Schizosaccharomyces pombe: one gene and its partner. Changing the gene in region 1 together with any one later gene gives a genetic interaction. Each region holds a gene or a part of one and is shown on either strand. Other genes may lie near its edges.

Region 1 (4,076 bases):
TTTCTCTTTTTTTCCTTTTTTTTTTTTTAATTTGCGCAATTCCCATGCAAAGTATACTATGACAACAAGCAAAAAATTTCAAATGTGTAGCATGACTTAATAAATAGTCCTTTTATTAGAAATATTTTGTTGCATAATAGACAATTTATTTTGACTGTTGATTAACGATACTAAGATTCTTTAATGTTGCATTGTGTTAGTTTTACTATCAATTTGCCTAGTGAAAATAAAAAAAAAACCAAAATCCAGTTAGGTACTTTTTTCATTTCATAGATATAACAAAAAAAAGGGACTATTTTAAGGTAATAATAAAATCTGTACAAATATTAATTTATACTACCTATAGAAGTAACCTTTAGTAGCTTCGTAGAAATATCTTATTGTTTGCATTATAATTCGCAAATGATTAAATTTAGACATTGCAATAATTTTTTTCCTTCTCAGTTATTCGGAAAAACAAAGCAGCATCAGAACCATTTTTACTACTTTGTGTAAATTCAAATTAACCTGTAAATTCTTATACAGTAAACCTTTTATTCCCTCTATAACACAAATAAACCGAATCTTTTACTTTAATATAAGTTTTCTGGTTTTTGTGTTATTTAATAAAAGTAAAGATTATTCATCGGTGATCACTGGAAACGATCTACTAAAATAAATAAACAAATTTCATTTTAAATAATTTCATCATCAAATTTATGGATCTCATACCGACAAATATTAAATAATGTTTGAAGAGGTACTTGACCTCGTTTTTATTAAGGGTTTCGTATTTTTGCCTCAGCAAAATTGTAAATATAACCATGTCAGCAAAAGATCAACAGTTTAAAGCAAGGACGGAAGACTGTGTTAGATTTGTCTCGGGAAACTATAAACCAACAAACATAAGGGAAATCTAGCCTGAAACGAGTTCGAAAATAGTTCCCATTTTTTTAATTGTTAAACATAGATGCTCTATTGCGCAAGATACAAGGGTGAAAATAACAAAAAAAAGCCATTAACGCGTCCAATGTATAACTTGCAATTTTATATAGTAGAGAGCAATAATAGGTATTTGCAAGAGGGTTAATGAGAAAGGGAAACCATTACAACGAAATATCACTTTGACATTTCTGCATTAAAAGCCTTAAAAGTCAAGCAAAGTAAAGTTTTTGAATATATGATAATTACAGCACATCAATGGATAATGAATATATAAATTTGTGGACATCAAGGAAAATCATGCGTAAACATGGTACATGTAATCGAAAACATGTTTCGATCATAAATGTAGACCAGTGAGTACAAACCCCAACAAAGGAATAGATGAATTGGTTTATGAGGGTTAAAAATCATCAGTAATCAGTAATTGACGCGGGGAGTTATGCACACTAAGTCTGAAAAAAAAAAGAGAAAACAAAAAGTCAAAGTCGCGGAAAAAAGGGGTATGCAAAGGATTAAATAAAAAGGACGGACACAACGAGTTGCAGTTGATAAAAGGAATTACGATTTGTTAACCGCTTCCTCATAGTGAGGAGGTTGATCTTGACTGGAGCTTGGACGATGATAAGGTGGTAATGGATCTAAATGTTGTACACGAGATACACTGTCAACTTCTTGGAATCTTTGAATTAGACGGTTCCATGCTTCAACAAAATTAAAGATGCCACCTTCATTGAACTGTAATTTTACCTCAGCTTCGCATGGTATACCACCATTTGGCACAGGCATTACTGTGCCAGAATAATAATTTGCTCCAAAAAAGGGTTGATTAAGTTTCGTATCCTTCAAGTTTGCAACAGGGGATTGAAAATCCTTAAAGTCACAGTCAGTATCCTTTGCAATATAAACCAGTCGTTGATTAGTTAAGCAAAGTAAACCTTTTGTGCAAGTCCAAGATTTCAATGATGGAGGTTTGCACAGTATCGAAATTGCGACTCCATCAAAACAATCAAACATACATTCATTTTCTAAGAGAAGTATGTCAGATTCACTTCCTTCTTTATATGTAACCCAGTTGATGCTCATTTTTTCTTTACGGAAACACAATTTCACCTTTTATAAAGTATTTGGTTATTGGGAAGTCAGCAATTTTTGTTGTCTTAAGCATCTCCCAGGGTAGTTCTTCAGTAGTCTCAGGGTAACATTTTCTTTGTTACATATTTTACGTAAAACATACCTAGATAATGGGTTGCAGAGTATAGTATGTTAAGTAAAATAAGGCCCTGCGTTATACATAGAAGGGTTTTAGTATGTGCTTAATGGGATTAAAATTTAAGATAATAATCATATAAAGCCAATATAATATACAAATTCGTAGGTATAATAAGTGCACACTATCCGTAATGTCACTATTAATCAAATTTGCATAGAAATTGAGAGCGAGTTCACATCATTAAAAATTCTAGCTGGTATATGGTTTAGTAATTCTCTTACGAGAAAATTTAAGATTGTTTGTATTAAAATTAAAATAAAATATTCAATTGAAGAGTTTTTAGTCGAATGACAACTTGTAACCCAATATTCATTTTTTTATTTACTATATTAACATTAATTAACCATAGAAGTATCAGACACTATGCCTGAGTGGTTAAAGGGACAGACTAGAAATCTGTTGCGGTCTCCGCGCGCAGGTTCAAATCCTGCTGGTGTCGATTTTTTTCCAACATTAATAGTTCATATTTCACTTAAGATTTAGTACTGATGATTTCGTTTTTGATATCTTGCATAGCTTTCTAACTTCTTAGCCATCTATCTCTTACTTTGCAGAATTTGGGATCGTAATAACCAAAAAGTTTTTGTTACTGACTCACTTGAACTAGTAGTAGTGGTCATAAAAAAACACTTTCATTTCCACTTAAGTATAGCAAAATTTGTCGTTTAGAGCACTTTTCGAATTATATCAATTCGTTTATGCGAATGGTTGTTTTGAAATATAACTAATCATAGCAAACACTTTTCCAAATTGTGGTATAAACATTCCGAATACTTCCCTTGTACATGTAAAACTGTTGCTAAAATCAACTTATTCGCAATTATGCAAACTCCTACGGCTCGTTCTTCAACTAACGTATATGGGAAACTCGTCGATAATGAAACTCGTTGTTTTCATTATCATTCTAAAGCCGACGTCGTGGCATTAAGATGTGGACAGTGTGAAAAGTTTTATGCGTGTTTTCAATGTCATGATGAACTCAATACACATCCGTTTTTACCTTGGAGGAAAGCAAAGTTTCACATTCCTTGTGTAATTTGCGGAGCTTGCAAGAATTCACTGACAGTAGAGGAATACCGTTCTACTGTTCATTGCAAATACTGTAATCATCCATTCAATCCTAAATGTAAAAATCATGCCGGGTACTATTTTGAAGACGCCTGAATCAAAGTTCCCATGATTTATAGTCTTTATATATGCTTTATTTTATGAGTCAAACCCACGCTAGCTTTGTCCCACGCATCAGTTGAAGATATTGTCACGATATTAGCGGTTGTTTAATATATTGTAATCTACGGAATTTGCTTGTAACTCGGTTTTGTAAAGCATCCATCAAATTCGTGAGGCATATCATATACCTAGGATTCACTGTCTAGATTGCAATTTAATGCTTATACAATTCCACCTTCTAATAAACCAAAAAATGTAAAAACAATCACATTATTAAAGAAACCTGCCATCAATGCAAACCACATGTTCTATGTTTTAATCATTTACTGCTATCTAGGATGGCCACGGTTATGTGGTATCCGAATCATGAAATCATAAGAACATTATTCCTGTCACTTCAGCTACACAATTTGATATAAAAGATGCGGGATAGTCAAATATGATGATCGTTCAATCCTTCCACTACAACGAACATTTTAGCAACAAATCATGCCTGAATACGAAGGCAACTGTTTGTGCAAAGCTATTCACCTAAAGGCAATAATTGAAGAACCTAAACTTAGTTGTTGTCATTGTGAAACTTGCAGAATATGGTGTTCCAGTCCATTTATGGCATTTTCTTGTACTCAAAAACCCAGTGTCTCTGAAAATGAGAATGTAGGTAAATACGCTTCATCTTCATTTGCTGAAAGAATTTTCTGTAAAAATTGTG
Region 2 (4,945 bases), on another chromosome or scaffold:
CACTGTTTTTCATCAATGCGTGCCCTTCCATACTCAATTACGTATATGGGATCTCCTGTTTTTATTAGGTGGAAGCAAAGGTCAAACTGTCAGGTTATTGCAAGCCACTTCTCTTGCGGTTATACAAGGAATGTGGGACACGCTAATTGATGCAGACTTTGAAGTAGTAATGCAAGCTCTGTCAGGTGTTATTCCCATTCAAAACGATAACGCCCTGCTTGCTAGAATTCAATTATTTTGGGAAAAAATGCCTTCTGAAAATTCTTCTAAAAGTAAGAGAAACTGATATTTCTAACTCTTTTTTAATAGCTTTATTAATTGTGGCCCACATGATGTAACATATGTCAACAAGATGAGGATTGATATCACAGAGCTTAGCATAATGGGTCCTGAACATTTATCATTTTCTTTTTCTGTTTTAATTTGGAACGTTGATAAACATTATTTCCTTGATACCACAAAACTTTTATTGGTATCAAGAGTATGCGCTTTAAATCGATCCTATCTAACTCTCTCTTCTTACTAATATTATAATTTTAACATCTCACCAAAAGAAATGGAATTTTAACATAAAATTAATTCAAGTATATATATTATAAATACTATACATATATATGTATACATAATACCTCTCCATCTTGCGACTTCCTAGGTGCGTCGTAATTTCTAATTATGTATAGCTTAAATAGTTAAATATTACCAAAACACTGACGACAAATAATAAAATATAAAGAAGGTAGTAAATGGGTTGAAAAATCAAATAAAACAAGGTATGGGGTTACTCTTCCTCGTTCTCTTCTACATTCTCTTCTGAAGAACGAGATTGATGAGAAGACGCAACATCAGCAAACTTAAGGATTTTGTCTTTATACTTGGTGACATCCCCGGAACTGTCTTCTATTATCCAGGACTGGACCTTATCTTCAATCAAGAATCGCTTGGAACTATTTTCATCAAAAATCACTACAACACTGGAATCCTTCAAGTTCACCTCCATCTCGATAAAAAGTCTCTCATGTTTTCCTTTACAAACAAAAGCGCATCGACCAACATCAGTTAATAGCATAACCCTTTGCTTTCTTTTCAAAAACATTTTTGAGAGTCCAGATGGAAACTTATTACCCTCAGGTACACTTGGAATGGGTGATACGAAGACCGAGGTAGATTCAATGATCGACTCAGACGATGGAACCAACTTGTAATAAAGTCTGTCAACAGGCATCTGATGGCTTCGAAGTGAAGCATAGCCATAATGAGCAGTTGGAGCAGTGAAACGATTTACCGTAGGAAGCTCCTGACGTCGAGCAGTTTCCTGATGCTTTACAATGGATGCAGAAGCAAATGCCGCGGCAGCATTAGCAGCAGCTGCGGCTGTCACATTTGAGCGATAATAAGCAGGAGCATTAGGAATGGCTATGTTATAATTAGGCCGGAATGACTGCATAGGAGGAGGATCTTGAGTCCATAAATTGTCCCAAGTAATAGTAGCAAAAAAAGGAAATTGTTTTATTTGTTGGGTTGTAGATCGATCAGATGGCTGAATACGGAAAAGATGGCTAAACAAAGGAACGATATCAGGTGGTAAGAGCTTTGGAAGCTCATATTCCAGGCTCATTATCTTTTTGAAAATATTATTAGGATTGCTGCCATGAAAAGGAGGGGAACCAACAATCATTTGATAAACAACACACGCAAAAGCCCATAAATCGGAACTTAAATATTTGTCAGAAAAAAAATAGACTGGGATAATAGGTTTTCTTACGATTTTGAAACAACTTGTCTAGACAATAGTTCAGGAGCAACATATTCCGCAGTGCCAACAAAGGAGCTTGGAAAGGTAGTGTAATCAGGGCTATTTACATATTTAGGGGGTAGGATTTTGGCTGTGCCGAAATCGGTAATTTTTACATGCATATTTCCATCAAATAAAATGCTAAAAAATAGGTTAGAATTAGGAAAAGGAAACGAACATTTAATGACCACTACTCAAACATACTTTTCTGGCTTGAGATCTCTGTGAATTATACCGCAGGAGTGCATATACTCGATACTTGATAAAATCTCAGCAGCATAAAAGCGCACACAATTCTCATCAAGAAAACGATACTACCAAAGCTTAGTTAATAAAGGAAAAATGAATAGACTAATGAAAAAATATACCTTTTTGATGTATTGCAAAAGTTCACCATTGGGTGCAAGTTCAAGCACATAATAAAGTTTTAAATCATCCTGAAATGTATGGAAAAGACGAGAGATACCAGGAAACCCATTAAGTCTCATCATAGAATCTCTCTCTATATTCACATACTTAACCTTATTTTCCTTGACAATATATTTTTTATCAAGGACTTTGATAGCGTACTCCTTCCAACTCTTTTTATCAGTTGCTCTTCTCACCTAACGAATATTAGACAACTTATTCGTCAGTAATCGAAGGTCCATAGGTTAATCGACCTGCGGTTGAAAAACTTCTGAACTGAGAAGCAATGTATCAACTTACCTTTGAGAATGATCCATCTCCTATAATGTCACCAAAAACGTAATCCGCCGGAGATTTGATCGATCCTATATGACTTGTTCCTGGTACTACGTTGGAAGACTGAGGTTTTACCGGATTTCTTTCACCTCTAGCCTCGAAGTAATCGGGATCCGCATAATCCGGCAATGTACTTCGGCTAATGCGTTTATGCTCCAGATCCATCATTTATAAAAGAGGTTTTCATGAAAAATGAAGTTGTGTTTGAGTTACTTTACGTTTGCTGTTCGATTCCAACTGAAACACCGTGCATTTAATTGTGGAGTTGCTGGCCTTGGAGTTGTGTTCTGTGAAGGATGTAAACACTAAGTAGAGTACCCTATTTCTCCAATCCTCGTCATTATTACATAAATTTAAAACGTAGAATATGCCATGTAAACAATAAATTAAAGGTCGAATTGTCAAAGAAAAAATGCTCATTAAGCAGCTTGATAGCCTTATCATACCCATCAAAGTCTTACATCGCATTAATGATACTTCGATATGACCTGAAGATGGTAGTACAAAAAAATTGCTTTGGGTGTTTATAGCATTAGCGAAAGCGATACAATTTGGAACGGCAATGAAAATTTTTTTAATTCAATGTTTTAAGCTCACGCTAAGCTATCCATGGCGATATTCGCTCTAAAAAGCAATAAATTGCTTGAATATGTTTGAAATAGTTTATAAATAAATATATATATGTACATATTGTTGAAATAACAGACACCTAAACAAAAGAGATTTTTAGAAAGCCAGTTGTCTTTGGGATACTGCCTTACTAAAATAAGCAAAATACACTGTAGTTAATGAAATGCTTCTTGCCTTAATTCCAAAATTAATTTGGCGATTAACAGAATTTGGAACATCCCCTATCACCTCAATATTGCTTGGAATTCTGCTTCGCTAGAAATGAAACATAACATGATACCTAATTCACAGTTTAGAAGATCCGTCGTAAGAAATTCTCGTAAATATATATACATCATTCCAGGTCGAACTTCCAATATCTTCATTTTTTGTTAAAAGATCATGGTCATATTATTTTCATTCTTCAATAGCTATGGTTTTTTTCATGTTATTTGCGTAAGTAAACCAAATATAAGCAGTCGTCAAATATTAAGAAAACAAAATCTTCAGAAACCTTTTTAGTCCCAAACTTTTAGATTCTTTCATTCTTTCCTATGTTAATTTCTAGCTGAGCACTTTCAAGTTCAATCCATGGTTATAACTCTGTAGTCGGCTGTAACTTTTGATCAAAAATTTTTAATACTATACCCTTATCTATAGTCGTTAAAGAATTTCTTAAAAAATATACGAATTCTTTCAACACTTTTTACAATTGAATAACAATTTTTTATATTCATACTGCAATTTCATATGCAGGTAGCAATGTTACCTAAATTTTGGCTGCTTCTCAATACCATACACAAGTCCCTAATCATTTTAACCTTTCACCAAACTTCTGAAAATGGCCACTACTGTGAAAGATACTATGAATGTTGACATTAATGCTATTAAAAAGGGGTATGATTGCGGGAAATTGATTTTGAAAGTTCTGACTTTGTAGAGAAATTCGTATGGGTACCACCATCACGGCGCTCCGTTATAAAGATGGCGTTATACTTGCTGCAGATTCTCGAACAACTATGGGTGTGTATTGGAATATCAGAACTTTTCGTTCTTTGATTTCTAACGTTGCTAGGTGCATATATTGCAAATCGTGTCACTGATAAGCTGACTCAGCTGACAGACAATATTTGGTGCTGTCGCAGTGGTTCTGCTGCTGATACGCAAACTGTGGCTGATCTTCTAAAATACTATCTTTCCATGTATCGGTAAGTTACCCTTGAATGAACCGAATGACTGTAAATTAAGGCTGCTTTAGCTGGTTTATCCTTTAGAATAAACTATCGACTTACTCTCAAGTCCTTATGTTTACTAGATGATTACTAAAGCCTTTTTGCATGTTTTATTTTTCATTTTATTGTTGTTAAAAAAATTATCTAACGATTATGAAGTATTCAATTTGGCCATGACCCTAGTGTTCATACAGCTGCTACTTTAGCTTCTGAAATGTGTTATCAAAACAAAAATATGCTTAGTGCAGGTTTAATTGTTGCTGGATATGATGAAAAAACTGGGGGAGATGTTTACAGTATTCCGTTAGGTGGTAGTTTGCATAAGCAACCTTTAGCTATTGGAGGAAGTGGTTCTGCTTTTATTTATGGATTTTGCGATGCTAACTTTCGCGAAAATATGACCCAAGAGGAGGCTGTTGAATTTTTAAAGAACGCTGTTGCTTTAGCCATGGAACGCGATGGCAGCAGTGGTGGTACCATTCGAATGGTCATTTTAAATAAAGATGGAATGGAGCGTAAATTTTTTGCCATTGATACTGCTAACCCTATTCCCGTATTTACTCACTAA

Evidence for each region.
Region 2: mutations in SPOM_SPAC29B12.11C (region 1) and pdk1 together harm fitness more than expected from each alone (negative genetic interaction), as found in Schizosaccharomyces pombe (one large-scale study listed by BioGRID).

The regions. Positions count from the first base shown.
Region 1 is NC_003424.3:5,435,196-5,439,271, forward strand, and holds SPOM_SPAC29B12.11C (WW domain-binding protein), read right to left. Parts: upstream 2,058-4,076; 5' UTR 2,008-2,057; coding exon 1,483-2,007; 3' UTR 677-1,482; downstream 1-676. Other genes in the region: hot13 (protein TIM chaperone), read left to right, coding at 3,017-3,358; SPOM_SPAC29B12.13 (S-(hydroxymethyl)glutathione synthase), read left to right, coding at 3,854-4,076.
Region 2 is NC_003423.3:3,113,683-3,118,627, forward strand, and holds pdk1 (serine/threonine protein kinase Ppk21/Pdk1), read right to left. Parts: upstream 2,828-4,945; 5' UTR 2,705-2,827; coding exon 2,501-2,704; exon of another isoform or gene 2,398-2,500; coding exon 2,161-2,397; intron 2,107-2,160; coding exon 1,997-2,106; intron 1,934-1,996; coding exon 1,763-1,933; intron 1,713-1,762; coding exon 779-1,712; 3' UTR 549-778; downstream 1-548. Other genes in the region: SPOM_SPBC1778.09 (GTPase-activating protein), read left to right, coding at 1-286; proteasome core particle subunit beta 1 Pre3, read left to right, coding at 3,987-4,042, 4,086-4,168, 4,221-4,353, 4,537-4,945.